Elephas maximus indicus: one gene and its partner. The protein of the gene in region 2 purifies or fractionates together with the protein of the main gene of each other region. This does not show direct contact. Links are inferred from orthologs where the notes say so. Each region holds a gene or a part of one and is shown on either strand. Other genes may lie near its edges. The genes, in order: UBE2B and UBR2.

Evidence for each region.
Region 1: the proteins of UBR2 (region 2) and UBE2B purify together in Homo sapiens (affinity purification with western blotting; 3 studies listed by BioGRID, with this or other methods). This does not show direct contact. The link is inferred for Elephas maximus indicus from reciprocal best matches to the Homo sapiens genes UBR2 and UBE2B.

Annotation. Positions count from the first base shown.
Region 1 is NC_064820.1:146,804,716-146,812,573, reverse strand, and holds the start of UBE2B (ubiquitin-conjugating enzyme E2 B), read right to left. Parts: upstream 3,025-7,858; 5' UTR 2,914-3,024; coding exon 2,870-2,913; intron 827-2,869; coding exon 746-826; intron 1-745. Other genes in the region: CDKL3 (cyclin-dependent kinase-like 3), read left to right, coding at 3,574-3,594, 7,133-7,312. UniProt on the Homo sapiens protein: E2 ubiquitin-conjugating enzyme that accepts ubiquitin from the ubiquitin-activating enzyme E1 and transfers it to a E3 ubiquitin-protein ligase. In vitro catalyzes 'Lys-11'-, as well as 'Lys-48'- and 'Lys-63'-linked polyubiquitination.
Region 2 is NC_064819.1:107,010,857-107,018,416, reverse strand, and holds the start of UBR2 (E3 ubiquitin-protein ligase UBR2), read right to left. Parts: upstream 3,012-7,560; 5' UTR 2,604-3,011; coding exon 2,526-2,603; intron 1-2,525. UniProt on the Homo sapiens protein: E3 ubiquitin-protein ligase which is a component of the N-end rule pathway.

The DNA of each region.
Region 1 (7,858 bases), on a different chromosome or scaffold from region 2:
AAAAAAACAGTTAACAGTCTGAATGTAATGGATGGTCACTTTAAAACAGTGTTTTGCTTCTTTAATTTTTTCTTTCTAGTCTTTTTTTTTTTTTTTAACGTATACTCTTGTAACTGATTCTGTGGCAACTGAGAATTTCTTTTACCAACGCATTCCTTCAAAACAAATCTGAATTTCAAATTTTAGTCCAAAACCCTAGTTTAAAAAAAATGAAAGAAAAAAAGGATCAAGTCCAGGGGCAAAAAAAAAAGGCATTAAGGAAAATTTAAATTAAAAGGCATATATGTAAAACATATCATTTGTAAGAAGGCTGTTTATCAAATGGATCCATTCAGTTATTTTACACTGGGCTGTGAAACATTTTCATTTACATTCTCGCCATAGAGAAAGTTCACAATGTTTTTGGTTCCAAGCCTTTTTACAGTCGCAATAAAATGTGAGCAGAATACTTACCTGGTACATTTTGTACAAAAGAATTTATCTTTTCTCCTTTATTATTCAATTTAGTTTCAAATGGTATTTTTCATTAAGTAAAACCAAAATGACTATAAAATCAATATGTAATGCTAAAGCGCAAATATATTCTATGTAAGTGCCAAAATTCTTAACCAAAAAATTTTTTCTAATTTATCTTGCAGTTTCAGTCCTTCAGGTCCCTGATTCCACCTCAGTCTTTTTTCTAGACATTTGTTACATATTAACTTTTCTCAAGAATCACCACACCTATTGTTACCTTTCAACTCACCCAAATATAACAGCGTTCCACTGCATGATGTTGTTTTCAGATGGTGCGCCACTAACACCCACAGGTGGGTCCTCTTGCAACCTAGGAATCCATAGTAGTAACTTTAAAAATCAAACACTAAGGACTCCAAGGAGGCCAAACGAAACACCGACGTTCTCTGTATCATCTACTTTGGCGACACAAACTAATTTCCTTAGCTTATGTTGAGCTGGAATGAACTATACCTGACTTAAAAAAAAAAAGGTATATATACTTATTAAATATCTCTGCAAATTTTCTATAAGTCCCAAGGGCTTGGGATTCATCCTTTTCAAGTATTTTCAAGGTTAAGATATGATCTCTTGAAAAACTGATGCATACAGACTGTCCTCCTGAACAACAAAAAAAACCAAAAGCAAAACACACAAACTCAAGTGCAAAAATATTTTTACAGAACAGGATCTGCTGCTCTAAACAAAGATTGAAACTCCTAACCACAGCTACGTGTGCAACACACACACACAACCTAAGTGTAAATGCTAAAGGACTGCAAGTGCTTATTTATTTTTTGCTCATATTCTTTTAATTAGGAAATCAGTTTTAGGAAGGAGAGCACCTTTATCACATTTGCTTCAGTTAGCGATGGCATTTATAGTAATCTGAAGCTTCAGTTTGGTCTATTTTAGGGCTCTATACTAAAAACCAAATCATACCCGGCAAACCAGGAGATCCAATACAAATTCTCATAACCCCTGGAAAACTACCAAGGGGGCCATGTGTTCAATCCAGAATTAAGCAGAGAAAAACAGTAAGCAAGTAGGGGAACAACGGACAGGCTCTGCAAGCTTTAGTATTTGAATTCCAATCATAAGAGTTAATCTGAAATCTACAAATTTCAAACTTTAGAAAGACTTTTGGACTAAACAAAGTATATTCTTTTAAAGACTGTCATCTAAATAAAAGCTCTATCATCTATCAATTATTATCATATGTGGCATGATACTTTCCCCTTTAGTCCACATAAAAATGGTTTTTACTCCACCTCAAGGATATTAAGCCACGAAGAATAAGACCCTTAGAGAAACTACACATTGCTTGACGCTCATCAGAGGTGAACAGCTAAGAGAAGCTCTGAGTGATTTCAGCTAAGTTGGGCAAAGCCCGAAACAATAGTTTCCAAATGCCTCAACTACGGCTTTATAATGGGAAAGTTGGGAGGTTACTTTAACCTTTTACACTCCCCCAGAAAACTGTGGCTTGTGCAGAGAATTGCGGTACTAAATCCTCTCACCCCTTATTTTTATTTTTCTCAACCTCCAGGTATTCAGTAAGAGGTAAACAACTGAAAAAATCATTTCCTCCTCAGTAACCGTAACACCTCCTAACAAAGCCCTACTTTACAAAAAGAGGCCCAGGGAGTATCAGGTTAGCGCCCGTTTGACAGAAGGCATGTTTCCAGAAGGATTTGGAGATTATAGATAGGGCTTTATACACCAGAAGGCACTGGCACCGGAGCTGGCAGCCCGGGGCCCAGGCCTCCCGGCCAGTTCTCAAGGTCCTTTCAGGCAGGCGGGGGCAGAGTCGGGTTTCGCGGGATGGGTTAGCAACCTCCGGGCCTCTCACTTCAGACCCCACCCTCAATGCTGAAAGAAAAGGAATGACGAGGCGGGGGGAGGGGGACCTTTACCCCAACCTCTGGCCCTCAAAGGAGAACGTGGAGCTGTTGAACAAAGCTGACGAGTTCAGCAGACAGGGAACAAGCTTCTGCATCAGAGCTCACTTTGGGGAGGCAGAGAAAGGGCGCAGTAGGGTGCAGGGGCGGGAGGATAAGGTTTGAGCGCTTGGACAAGACGTCGGGAAGCTGGCAGAAGTGGGCAGCAGGGAACCTTAGGCCGGCGACAGCCACCTTTTTTGTTTACTTTTTTTGGCTAAGATTGAGAGGGGGAGGATATCGAGATTTCTAACGCCGCTAAGGAACAGCAAGAGGGAGTGGGTGCGAAGACTACCACTGGGTTCCCGTCGATCCCGCTAGGGCCCACAGCCAGTCCCCTTAGGGTCGTGAGGGGAACGTGTCCGAGGTCCCCGCCCTGCAGCTCCATAGCTTTGAGAAGGAGCCGTCGGCCAGGTGAAGGTGAAGGCCCTTACCGCTTGAAATCCCGCATGAGCCTCCTTCGGGCCGGGGTAGACATGCTCCAAGCTGCCCCGCGGTCAGTCTGAAAGAAAAGAGTTCCGCACAGCCCCCCCCACCCCCCGGCGCGGCGGCCGAGTCACTGTGGGTCACCGCCGCCGCGCTGCACAAACAACCCTGCAATGACGTCTCCCTCCGCCGCCTCCAGATCCCTCCGCCCTCCGCCAGTACCACAGAGGGAGGGGAGGGGGACAAGGTGAGCGAGGGCGGGATGTAGGAGAGCACGTTCCGGGAGCCTCTCAGCAAGGACCGCTCTCATTTTGGCTTCCTGAACTCCTCGACAAGTTGGTATTCTTTATGCTTAGACCCATTGGATTAAAAGCCATCGTGACCGAAACACCACCCTGTTTCCCCCCTTCACTGACTTAGGCTCGGCTGGGTGGGGAGAGACGGACGCATCCGGGTCCAGGGACTTCAGGGAAAGGAGGTGGAATGACGTCAGGTCACGTGACACCGGCGGCGTTGTCAACAATCCACCCCTGACGGGGAGGGGTGAGGTAGCTAGAACCACGCGTCCCTATGACGCGATTAGAATGGATCACGTGGGACCGCCGCCTGAATCAGTCTCAGCCAGCTCTATGATGCGGGTACCCAAGTTTATGGGTATTAGGGTGGGGTACACCTGTATCAGTCTGTCTCACGTACAGGGACTACATTATCGATGAGGTCATGCCGGAAGCAGGTTTGTCTTTCTAAATCTTTAAAATGGAGCCCAAAATAATTTGGACATAAAATTCCCTCTCGTTGTTTCAGTGGTTAATCAGTCTGGCTCTTAAGGCAAAGTAGTAGTGTAGGGACTTTCTCGATCTTTTAATAAGCGCAGCATTAAATGCTGAGGCCCACACGAAACAAAATCCCCCGAAATTCTTCCTTAGGTCATCAAATAGCCTCTTTCTTTTGCAGTGGAGTTTTCAGGATTGGAAATTCTGGGCAAAGATTAAAAAACGGTGTACAGATTGTCCACGGCTTTTTTGTTGTTGTTGTTTAAAATAAGCACGGAATTAAAAGTTTTGTTTTTCCTGTATGGTTCTCTCATTTGAGGACTTGTGTTAAGAATCCATGGGTTGGGCTACGGTAGGGAATCGTATTTGTCAAGAACTGCGAGGGTGCGACAGGTGATCTGTTGTTAAAGAAACCTACAAATACGATTCAGATCTGCGGGAGATGTGCTGACATGGGTGGGACTTATTTATATATCTAGCCTGAGAGAACTCATTTCTGGTTTTCTACACTAGCCAAGCAAGGCCCAAATGAGCAAGAAGTGTCCATCCTGTGCCATTTTCTCTTCACTGAGTTTCCTCCAGCTATAGTCTTTAACTGACTCCAGGTCTTTGTTGCTCAGGATGACTCTCAGCAATTTTTCATATTTACTTGACAAATTCTTCAGCTCAAGGCAGGGAAATTTCTTTGCATTGTATCAGTCTTTCTTCAGCTTGCCTGTATTTCCAAGAAACCAGGAAGGGTTAGCTTTACTGGTACCTCCCTTTTTTCAAATCCTGAATTCTATCGTTAGCTTTTAGTAACAGCCTTGGTGATCAAGCTAGCTAGGCCTAACTCTTGATAGGTCCTGCTATTCAATCACAAATGTGATTCTCTAAGTCAAAAGCTGATTTTTTTTGCCTTCCTACCATATTCTCCACAGCTAGGGAGTAAAACAGACGGTATAGGGTACCACGCAGTGAAATGCTAAAGAAAAAAGGTTAAAGAGTTACTTTTTAAAAACCCTGTGATGTAATTTATCTAGCAATTTTAATTGTACATGGTTTTCCAAAATGAAGTAACATTTTTGACAAATTCTGTCAAGGATCTTCATAGTCTTAGAGCGATGTATAAGGAAGAATCATTGGCTGTTCAGGTCTCCAAGCCTGCCACAGCCTATTTGTAAAATGAATAATTTCAAGCTAAAACTGTATAAAACCCATTGCCATCGAGTCATTCCAACTCATAGTGACCATATAGGGCAGAGTAGAACTGCCCTGTAGGGTTTCCAAGGAGTGCCTCGTGGTTTCGAACTGCCGACCTCTTGGTTGGCAGCTGTAGTACTTAACCATTACTGCTGCCAGGGTTTCTGAAATTGTATAGTCTTATCAATTCTGTGGAAACCCTGGCAGGAGTAGTGGTTAAGAGCTACAGCTGCTAACCAAAAAGGTCGGCAGTATGGAATTGACTCGACGGCAATGGTTTTGGTTTTTTTGTTTTGAACAATTCTGTGGCTCTAGATTGTGAGCTCACTGAGGGCAGAGACCAGTCTGATTCATGTTCTGTTCTTTACAAATATTTAACCCACAATAAATGTTAAATAAATATGCTTACAGCAAGTCTGGGCAAAGATTAACTTTGACACTCATAGATTACAAGGATTTTTAAACATTGTTGAGTAACTTTTCAAAAGGAAAGACGACTCTGAATATTTTGCTAATGAAAAGGAAAACCAGGATCATTCCTCCTCACTCTCCCCACTCAGAAGCTCTAAACCGTAGCAGCATATTAGAAACACTTGGAGGAACTTTTAAAATACCAATTCCTTTACCCCAAACCCAGTGCCGTCGAGTCGATTCCGACTCATAGCGACCCTATAGGACAGAGTAGAACTGCCCCATAGAGTTTCCAAGGAGCGCCTGGTGGATTTGAACTAGGGTCTCTTTGGTTAGCAGCCATAGCACCTAACCACTGCACCACCAGGGTTTTCTCCTTTACCCCATCCCAAGTGAATCAGAATTTCTGGGAGTGAGGACTTCTTAAAAGCTATCCAGGTGTGATTTTAATGTCCATGTTGGGGTGGGAAGCACTGGGCTAGATTTATTAGATAACAATATTAGATAATAATTTATTTAGAGGAAGCATGGTGGGATTTGACCTTATACACTTATCTCATTTTACAGAAGAAACTAAAACCCCGAGAAAGGCAGTACTTCCTAGGTACTTGTTCGGCATTACTCTAGTTATTCATTTTTAAGCTGTCACTACAGTTGAACCCTATGTCCAGTCCTTAAGCAATTAAACACTGGCCCCTTTTTCTCTGTGCTATTGCATGTCACTCCCTGTGTGTGGTAAAATCCTTTGAATTACTTTCTTCAGGGTCTTTTCCCCAAGGGGCTATTTTAACATGTAGTGAGGGACTTTTTTAAAAAGGATTACTAGGAGTTGGAAGAAATTTTAAAGAGAGGTGTTCACGAAATATTCTTGATGATATACCCGTTTAAGGATGAATGTCAACACCTGAGGTCAAACTCAGGTCCATGGAATAGTATTGTACTAAGTAACTTAAAAAACAAAAACCACACAAGACTTTCTTGGAAGTCTCGCTTTACAAACTATCACAGCTTAATGACAACAGCCATTCTTTTAGCGGCGGGTGTTCTCCAGCCTGGTGGCGTCCGCGACGCATGCCACACACTCATGCTGCTGTCAAAATGTGGATGCTTCCCATCCCGCTCAAAACTAACCTTGTGAGGAGGCCCCGAGTTTGAGCGAAGCCAAACCCACCAAGACCCCAACGGATCCCCAAGCAAGCTTCCATTTTAGCGCGCTCCAGGAGCCCTTTCCGCTTTTTCTCACTTTCCTTCCGGGTCGGACCCGGCCGATAATCCGGTCTTGCGCACTAGGGGCAGAGTGTTGTCGCTGCGTTGCCATGGTAGCGGGCGGCTGCGAGCTGGCGGGGTTGGCTGGCAGAGGCGGGTCCGTGTCCCGTTGCCCGGCTGGGACTGCGCGGAGCTAGGCTGACAGGACTGCAGAATGGGCTGAGGCGGCGGTGGCTGCCCGGACTAACTCGACAGCGGGGTGAGGGGCGCGACTCCGGTCCAGGACCTTAGACGTCGGATTTGAGGAGCGGGCGGGACTTATGCTTTCCTCAGTCCCGGGCCTGATGTGTGGGAGCTGCAGTGGTGCGGGGACCTAATATTTGACGAAGGAATGACAGGAAGTGTTGGGACTACACACTTCATAGATGGGTGACACGTAGTAAGGGAACCTCAGTGTTAATGGGAATAACCGAGGCAGCCGAGCCATAAGTTCTGGTAAGGGCAGGAGCCCCATAGGAACACTTCATTGGCGGGCTGGCGGAGTGCTCAAAGACAGATTCTGTGGAAAAGATTCGTGATTTTTTCTATGTTTCTGTATTTGAAAGTATGGGTTTATTTTGGAAATGCATTATCCAGCTTGAATAAATAAAACTATAAACGTTTAACATTTTTTTTTCCTTTATTTCTCTGAGGAAGTAGAAGCCAGACTTTAAAATGGAGATGTATGAAACCCTTGGAAAAGTGGGAGAGGGAAGTTATGGAACAGTCATGAAGTGTAAACATAAGGTTACTGGGCAGATAGTGGCCATTAAGATATTTTATGAGAAACCAGAAAAATCTGTCAACAAAATCGCAACGAGAGAAATAAAGTTTCTAAAGGTTTGCTTCTTTTGCTTAATTGTTCTATAAATCATAAGAGAAATTGTTAGAAAATAAAAAAAATTGTTTACAAGAATATTTCAGTTAACACATGTGCTAAGACATTAACTGAAAAACAAGTGTGATACTCCGTTTATTATCTAACATTTTGTAATTTTATAGTGATAAAAGATGCATGTGCTTGTGTATAACTTAACAAAAGCTATGCCAAGTGTTGTGAAATAATTACTCAGAAATATTCTAGTATAATGAATATTGAATAAAAATGACTGCTTTGTGCAAGGCATTGTGCTAGATTCTGGGACTATAAAGATGTAAGAGATAGTCCCTGCCCTCAAGAGAACTCTGTGCACCATAAGTGAAAATGTAATTAGAAGACCTTTTCCCAGAGACTATCTCTAGTTCTTTCTTTAACTCTATTGCACTTCAGTTGATTATTTTTCTCTACTTAATCATTTTGTAAAAATAACCAATATGTGGTAAAAACACAGAGATGAAAATGCAATTTACTATTACAGTGAAACCTGTGAGAGCTGGAACTCCACG
Region 2 (7,560 bases):
CTCTATGAATATACTAAAACCCACTGAATTGACTGTGTATGAATTTTTTTTCAAATCTGTTAAAATATTAAAGCAAAAAATATATATAGACTTAAAACTTCTACAGCGAATATGTATTTCATTTATAATTGGGGGAAAACAATACATGTATTTCTTAAAACATAATCACCCATTAGAGCACAATATTATTATAATCAAATCTGTGGAGCACAAAATGTAGTAAATAAGAGCTGAGAAGTTTTGGGAAAGTCATAGTTGTTGTGGAATCAATTCTATCAGGAAAATGAGAAGACTGAGAAGAGGGAGCCATTTCCATATCCTAAATTTATAATAATTAAAGCCAGCCTAGATGCTTTTTGTGAGGCATAGTACTTAGGATATATGGGATCACAATAAAGTCCTTTCTCCTCATAACAGAAATAAGAAAAGCGGTGTGTAAATAAAGTGTGGGAAAGAAGAAACTAGCGCTCACTAGTAATCTAAAACGGATGTGATCCCAACAAATTACCAGTATTGTTTATCCTCTCTAACATTTACTTTAAATTGGAGAGGAAACTTTATTAAGTCTGTGAAAAAGAGCTGTGCTGGAGCCTAAGTTGAAAGAATAGTTTTAAGTGCTATGCTAACATAACTAAAATACAGACAGTAATCCTTTACAAAGTAAGGCTAGGCTTTATAGCTGGAGGAATCTTATATTTTCATATTAGTTTGCACCTAATATTTGAAGGAATTTTGTTAATTATTAGAGTAAACATTTTTCTTTATATTATTGGTCAGAAAGCCATTTAAAGTAAACAGAGCAATAGTAAAATGGAATTCAGTTTGTTGATCTTCACAAACTCAAATGAAGTCCAAATTAATAAATTTTTATTGCATTTCCCTTTATTTTCCCCATTGTGTCTGCTTGAGAATTTCACTGCTCAAGAACTAGGAGCACTGGTCTCCAGCACCGTTTCTGTTAACTGGTTTCTTCAGGAACCTCAACAAGTTGGAGAAGCTCTGCTACTCAATAGTTTGCACTTTTAGAATAGGGATAATAGAATATGTAGCCTGCATCTCTGGGCCAACAGGCACTAATATTTGGCGGGATTAAAAAAATTACTTTGAGGTAACTAACTTATTCAATATCAACAGGCAAGACCATGGATAAGGAATAGCTGCCGTTATTATAATATTACTGTTTACTTGTAATGCTGCTTTCATTTTCTTGTTCAAATCTCTTTGATAATTACCAATGAAACGCAGATGGGGGATGTAAATCCTTGGGTTGTTACCACATTAAGCAGAAAGTAAAAGAAAACATAGACTAAGCAACCAAGTCAGGACTGTGGTTAAAACCAACAACAAAAAAACAAGCAAAGAACCATGGATTTCTTTAAATGTTCACCTCTACTCCTGCCTTCACTTATTTCCACCCTAAAACTTCAGTGTCTTCATCAATTCACTCAAAATAACTTCACTGCCCAACAGCCCCACAGTGCCCCCTGCTCAAATTTTTTTCATAACATTCAGACTGTCGACTTGTGTTCACTCCCTTCCTAGTAGTTTTTTAAACTGGAGGCCTTAGAGGTGGGGCCCAAGTTGTTTTGGTCCATTCATAATCAATCTGGACAATCTGTTCTAATGGGTGTTCCCTGTCCTGCTTGGGGAAAAATGCCATCGAGTTTCATCAATCATTTTACAACTACTAGCATATTCAAATTACAGTTTCACTACAATGCTAAGTATCAGTTTGGGGCATACTGCTTCTACTATGCTTTAGCCAACCCTCATATTATTAGCTTATATTTGGTGAAAACTGCTGCCTCGAAGTTATATAACGTTTGTCGTCTATCCAAAGACCATCAACTCCTAGAAAAAAAAAATTTCACCTGCAGCCTCCATCACTACTACTTTCACACATTCACTAAACGTGTCAAGACACTATCTTCCACGCATTCATAAACGTTGTGGACCGACCAAACAGGTTAAAAAGCGCGCTGAAGGGGTTAAGGGAGAGAACTGTGTCGTTTGCATCCCCGGTGCCTAGGGCAGTCCCAGAAACAAAGTGGGGGCTCAGTTAATGAACCTTTTTTGGTGGACAATGTGTATCTCCGCTTATCTCAGAAAACGGAATCGGGAAGACCAAGTAGGGCGATAATACCCAAAACGCTAGGAAACATCTCTTTCCCTCCCATCTTCCAAGAGCTGGAATAAAGGGCAAAGGCCTGCGTGTTGGGGACTTGCGGGAGGGTGAGGGGAAGAAGAATAATGAGAGCTCTTGGGTCAGCCGGGACTAAAAGGGAATGTAAACGCGGCTGGTGCACAGTGCAGTGCTGGCGGCTGTTTGAGAATGAAGAGGGAAGGAGAGAAAGGAGAGGGGAAAAACGATCGGTGGCCTGCCCGGGCCGTTACTCCACAAGGCCAGGCCGGCCCGGTCGTCACCCCAAGTCAGGACCAGACTGCACCAGGATTTCCAGGAGTGGGTTCCTCCCCCCGGCGCGGCCAGCGAGGGCTGGACGTCCCCGCCCGGGTCCGGCACTCACCCCCGCGGTTTCCTCGGCCGAACATTCCAGCAAACTCCGGTCGATGGCCTGCACCTCGGGCTCCAGCTCCGACGCCATCTTCCCTTCTCCTTCTCCCCAGCGCTGACGCCGCTACCGCCGCCCCGAGGGCCGCGGCCTCGCCACGGCCCCGGCGGCCGCGACCGCTACCCTCGCCCCAGGCAGTCAGTCAGTCAGTCCCGGAGCCGCCCAGGCGGCTGCGGGGGAAGCAGCAGAGGGAGAAAGGCGCGGTGAGCCGGACAGGAGGGACGGCGGTCTTCTGCGCTCCCGCCCGGGCTCAGCGCCTAAGCGTCAAGTCACTGCTTCGTCCCTGCCCAGGGGAAGGACACAGAGGAACCCAAACCTGGCACCCTTGCTCGCTACTACCGTCTCCCGCACCGGGAAAGGGGCAATAACACTCAGGAGGGGAAGAGGAGGATACTGGGAACTGTAGTAGATCTCAGCACAGCACAGAGAACGGTGACACCCTTATAGGGTGCCCCACGAGGGTATTGTGGGAGTTGTAGTCCATTTCTAACCGGAGACTGAGCAAATGGCAGATAAGGGGGCGGGACTTTCTGGACGACTAGAATCATGGGAAGAGATTAGTGGCATGAGACGCCTACCTGGGAAAGGCACGAACCCAAGACCAAACCAAACCTCTTGTCGTGGAGTCGATTCGGATTGATAGCGACCCTGTAGGACAGAGTAGAACTGCCCCATAGAGTTTCCAAGGAGCGCCTGGTGGATCCGAACTGCGGACGTTTTGGTTAGCAGCTGTAGCTCTTAACCACTACACCACCAGGATTTCCGGAAGAGGCACCAGAACACGATAATGTGGGAATTGTAGTTTTATCCCATACACCCAATTGTTCATTTTTGTATTTTCAGCGCTTTGAACAGTGCCTGGCACGTGGTAGACACGTAAGTACTTGTCAAAGCCTGACTTAAGGTAGGCACTCAAATGCTTGTCAAAAGAATGGATGAATTGCATTCTACTCCTGTAGAATTCTTTGACCCTGTCATCCATCATCCTCTCTCCCCTTAGACTAGTACCGAATTGAACATTACCCAGGTGTTTTAAGGTTTTAAAATATGTTTAAATGCTGTTAATAGAAAAACTTTTCAAGCAATTTAGTTATGACCGCTTATCAAGATTACGAAAATTTCCTGCAAAGGAAAAGGACTGTATCAGGCCAATTTGAAGATTTACTCTTGGTAAGGACATTTGATAGACATAGACAACCATTGTTAGATTAGATATTTAAAAAAATTCTGTTTGGTTAATGGCAATTAGATTCTTGACTGACAGTTGGGTGAATGGGTTTCTTAAAACAAATCTTCAACCATTTAGAGTTTATCAGAAAATTGGTTACACGTTTTATCAGGAGTGCTAATTTTTTCCCAGAAGGAAGTTGTGAGTTACATTACGCAAAAAAAAAAAAAAAAAAAAGTTCTGACCCAGACCAAGTAGGGAACATGTTTTTGTTGTTGTTATAATTTGGAAATTTTAGAATCTTACAAGCATCCAGGAAGAGAAAACACAAAGGTTCCATAATCAGAAGCACTGGGTGCCTCAACCTTTCAGATATACATTTGAGATTATTATATTTTCAACCAACATTTCTAGGTATTTGTGTTGGGATTGGTGGTGATTCAGATGATAAAGTTTGCCATATTTTTAGGATAGTTAAAATGTGAGCTCCATGTAGGCAGTAACTTTCTGTTTTCACTTATGTACATATGTTCCTAAAACAGTGCCTGACGTATTAGATTCCCAATACACCTTGGTTTTTTTAACCTAATAATGCTTTGTTATTTTTATGACTGCATAGCGTTCTGTGCTATTCCATGAATGTATCGCAATGTGTTTAAACTATTGATGAACTCATTGGTTCTTTCCAGTGTTTTGTGTGATTAAAAGAATATTCAATTAAATTCCATTTTCATATTGATTGGCAAGCTAAATTTTAGGTATACCCACAAAACCCACTGCTGTCGAGTCGATCCCAACTCATAGCGACCCTATAGAACAGAGTAGAACTGTCCCATAGAGTTTGCAAGGAGCGCCTGGTGGATTCAAACTGCTGGCCTCTTGGTTAGCAGCCATAGCACTTAACCACTATGCCACCAGGATTTCCAAATTTTAGGTATAGCAAAGGATAAATTTGTAGAAGGGAGTTTTCTGGGTGAAAGGAAATAACGTAACTGGTGAAAGGGCAAAAGGTACAAACTGAGGCTCAGAAGGGGCAGGACTGTAAAAAGGCCCACTTGGGTGCCACCTGTTATACCCAGTCCCAGGCACAGGACCTTCCCTATGCTCAGGGCTTTCCACCCTGGCTCCTCACTGGGCCTAGACATGGTCTCAACCTCCAGCTCATTACCTACTTCCCTCTCTCTCCCCCTGCAAAAGATACCCATCTATGTACTATTTCCCACAAAGCCCAGTCTTTGGCCATATTCATCCTTCCATCCACCCATCAATTCATTCAGTGCATATTTTCTGAAGCTCCTACTAAATGCCAGTCACATTCTTGTTACTGGCAAGATATCAATTAGCAGGCACAGTTACTGCTTTCATGGGCTTATATTTTAGTGGAAGAGACAGACAATAAAAAAGTAAGTGAGTGAATACATTATACAATTACAGATATTGAGAAATGTTCAAAGAAAATAATTAGGGTGATCAGAGAGGTATATCTGAGGAGGGGAAAGTTGAGCTGAGTCTTGAATGAGAAGAAAGGGTCAGTCATGTGAAGATCTGGGACAAGGGCATTCTAGGCAAAGTAGACAGCAACAGCAAGGGTTTTAAGGCTGGAACAGACTTGGCATGAATCAGGAACAATAAGTTTCATGGCAGTTAGTTTTCATATAAACTAATAAATGCTATGCCAGCTGGTAACAGTAATAGGTATATTATTCCTATTCTCAACTAGCATCTTTCAGATAAGTGTTAATACATTTCAGTTTAGATACAACAAAACTGAGACTTATGAAGGTAAGATAACTTTCCCAAGGTCACTGTGGTAGGTTGACTGCAGTTTAATGACCCTCATTAGGGGGCTTCCTGTAGGCACTTCCTTTACAACGTGACTCTACCACTCTTTACATCAAGAAGTGGTGTCTACAAAAAAAGACCAGACTTACTGGTCTGGCAGAGACTAGAGGAACCCCCGAGACTATGGCCCCCAGACACCCTGCTAACTCGGAACTGAAGCCACTCCCAACGTCCACCTTTCAGCCAAAGATTAGATGGGCCTATAAAACAAAAAATAACACGTGAGGAACATGCTTCTTAGTTCAAGTATATGAGACCAAATGGGCAACACTTGCCCAAAGACAAAGGTGAGAAAGCAGGAAGGGACAGGACAACTTGATGAATGGACGCAGGGAACTTGGGGTAGAAAGGGTAAGAGTGTTGACACGTTGTGAGGATTGCAACCAATATCACAAAATGATTTGTGTATACATTTTTGAGTGAGAAACGAATTTGTACTGTAAACTCTCACCTAAAGCATGATAAAATAAAATAAAGAAGTGCTGTGTATTTCCCTACCCCTTGAATCTGGGCTGGCCTTGTCACTTGCTTTAGTGAATGGAATGTGGTAGAAGTGATAGAATAGCAGTCCCAAACCTAAATCCCCAGAGGTGGTCTTGCATGCTTCCTTCGAGTGCCCACTTTCTCCCTAAGAACAAGTCTGCGCTAGCCTGCTATAGGATGCGAGACCACATGGAGGAGAATCTAGATACAGCTGGCAGCCAGCCAACTCCTAGAAGCAGAGGCACCTAACTGACCTGTGGGTAGCTGCAGACACATGAGGGAGACCAGAAAAAATGGCCTAAATTGCCAACCTGCAGAATCATGAATAAATGATTAATTAAAAAAAAAATTTTTCATGGCAAAGCATATAAAACATAAAATTTGCCATTTTAAGTATTTTTACATGTGCATTCAGTAACATTTGTTACATTCACAATGTTGTGCAACCACCATCACTATCTATTTCCAAAACTTTTTCACCCCAAACAGAAACTCAGAGCTCATTAAGCAGTAATTGATGTTTTAAGCCACTAAGTTTTGGGGTGATTTTTAATGCAGCTATAGCCATCAATTCAGTCACACAGGTAAGGGGCAGAGCTGGCCTTTGAACTCAAGTCTTTCCAACTCCAAGGCTCATATTCTTTTCATGCAATGCTGCTTCTCCAGTGTACCCATTTCCAGGTAAGTTAATTTATACATATATATATATTTTATATAATTAACCAAGCTCATGTACAGTAGGCCAAAAGCCAGGGAAGGCTCCCTTCTCCTTGTTGGGTCCTATATTATTTGACTCTTACAGGCCATGGATAAAATATTGAGAACTTTGTGTTTTTGAATTGTTTCAAAAGAGTGAACAAAGACATTTCTATGTTAGGAAAGCCACTTCAAGATAGGTTCATTCATGATTAAGATCTGTGGACACATGCTCTGCTTTTCTTGGGGACAAAGTTACCTGGTTCTCTCTTTTATGTCTGAGATGATTAAAATGATGACAGCCAATTGCAATTTTTTTTCCCACCTCATTTGGGGCATTGAGAGTGAGTTTCTTCTAGTCTTAATAGAGATGTTATAAAGCAGCTGGCATACCAAAAAGTCCTCAGGGAAGAAAAAAATAAAAAGATTTTGAAGGATACATTATGTATTCCATACCTATTGTTACTGATACAGGTTGTTTCCTGGGAATGGGATCTTGTGGCTCCTTGTTCCCTAAAGTTAGCTTGTCATTGCTACCTTTTTTCCGGATGTGGAAAGGACTGTCACATGGCATACTGTGAGGAAGAATTGCATCTGGTCATTATGTGATGGAAAATGAAAGAAGAGGTCTGGTGTCTGACTGCTTTTCAAAGACATTAGTAAACTATGACACCCAACCAGAAAAGGACAAGGATTCAGGGCTGCCAGACATGGGTATTATTATACCCAAAGCAGTTGCCATCTGTGTGTCAGGGTAAAACTGTGCTCCGTAGGGTTTTCAATGGCTTCTTTTTTGGAAGT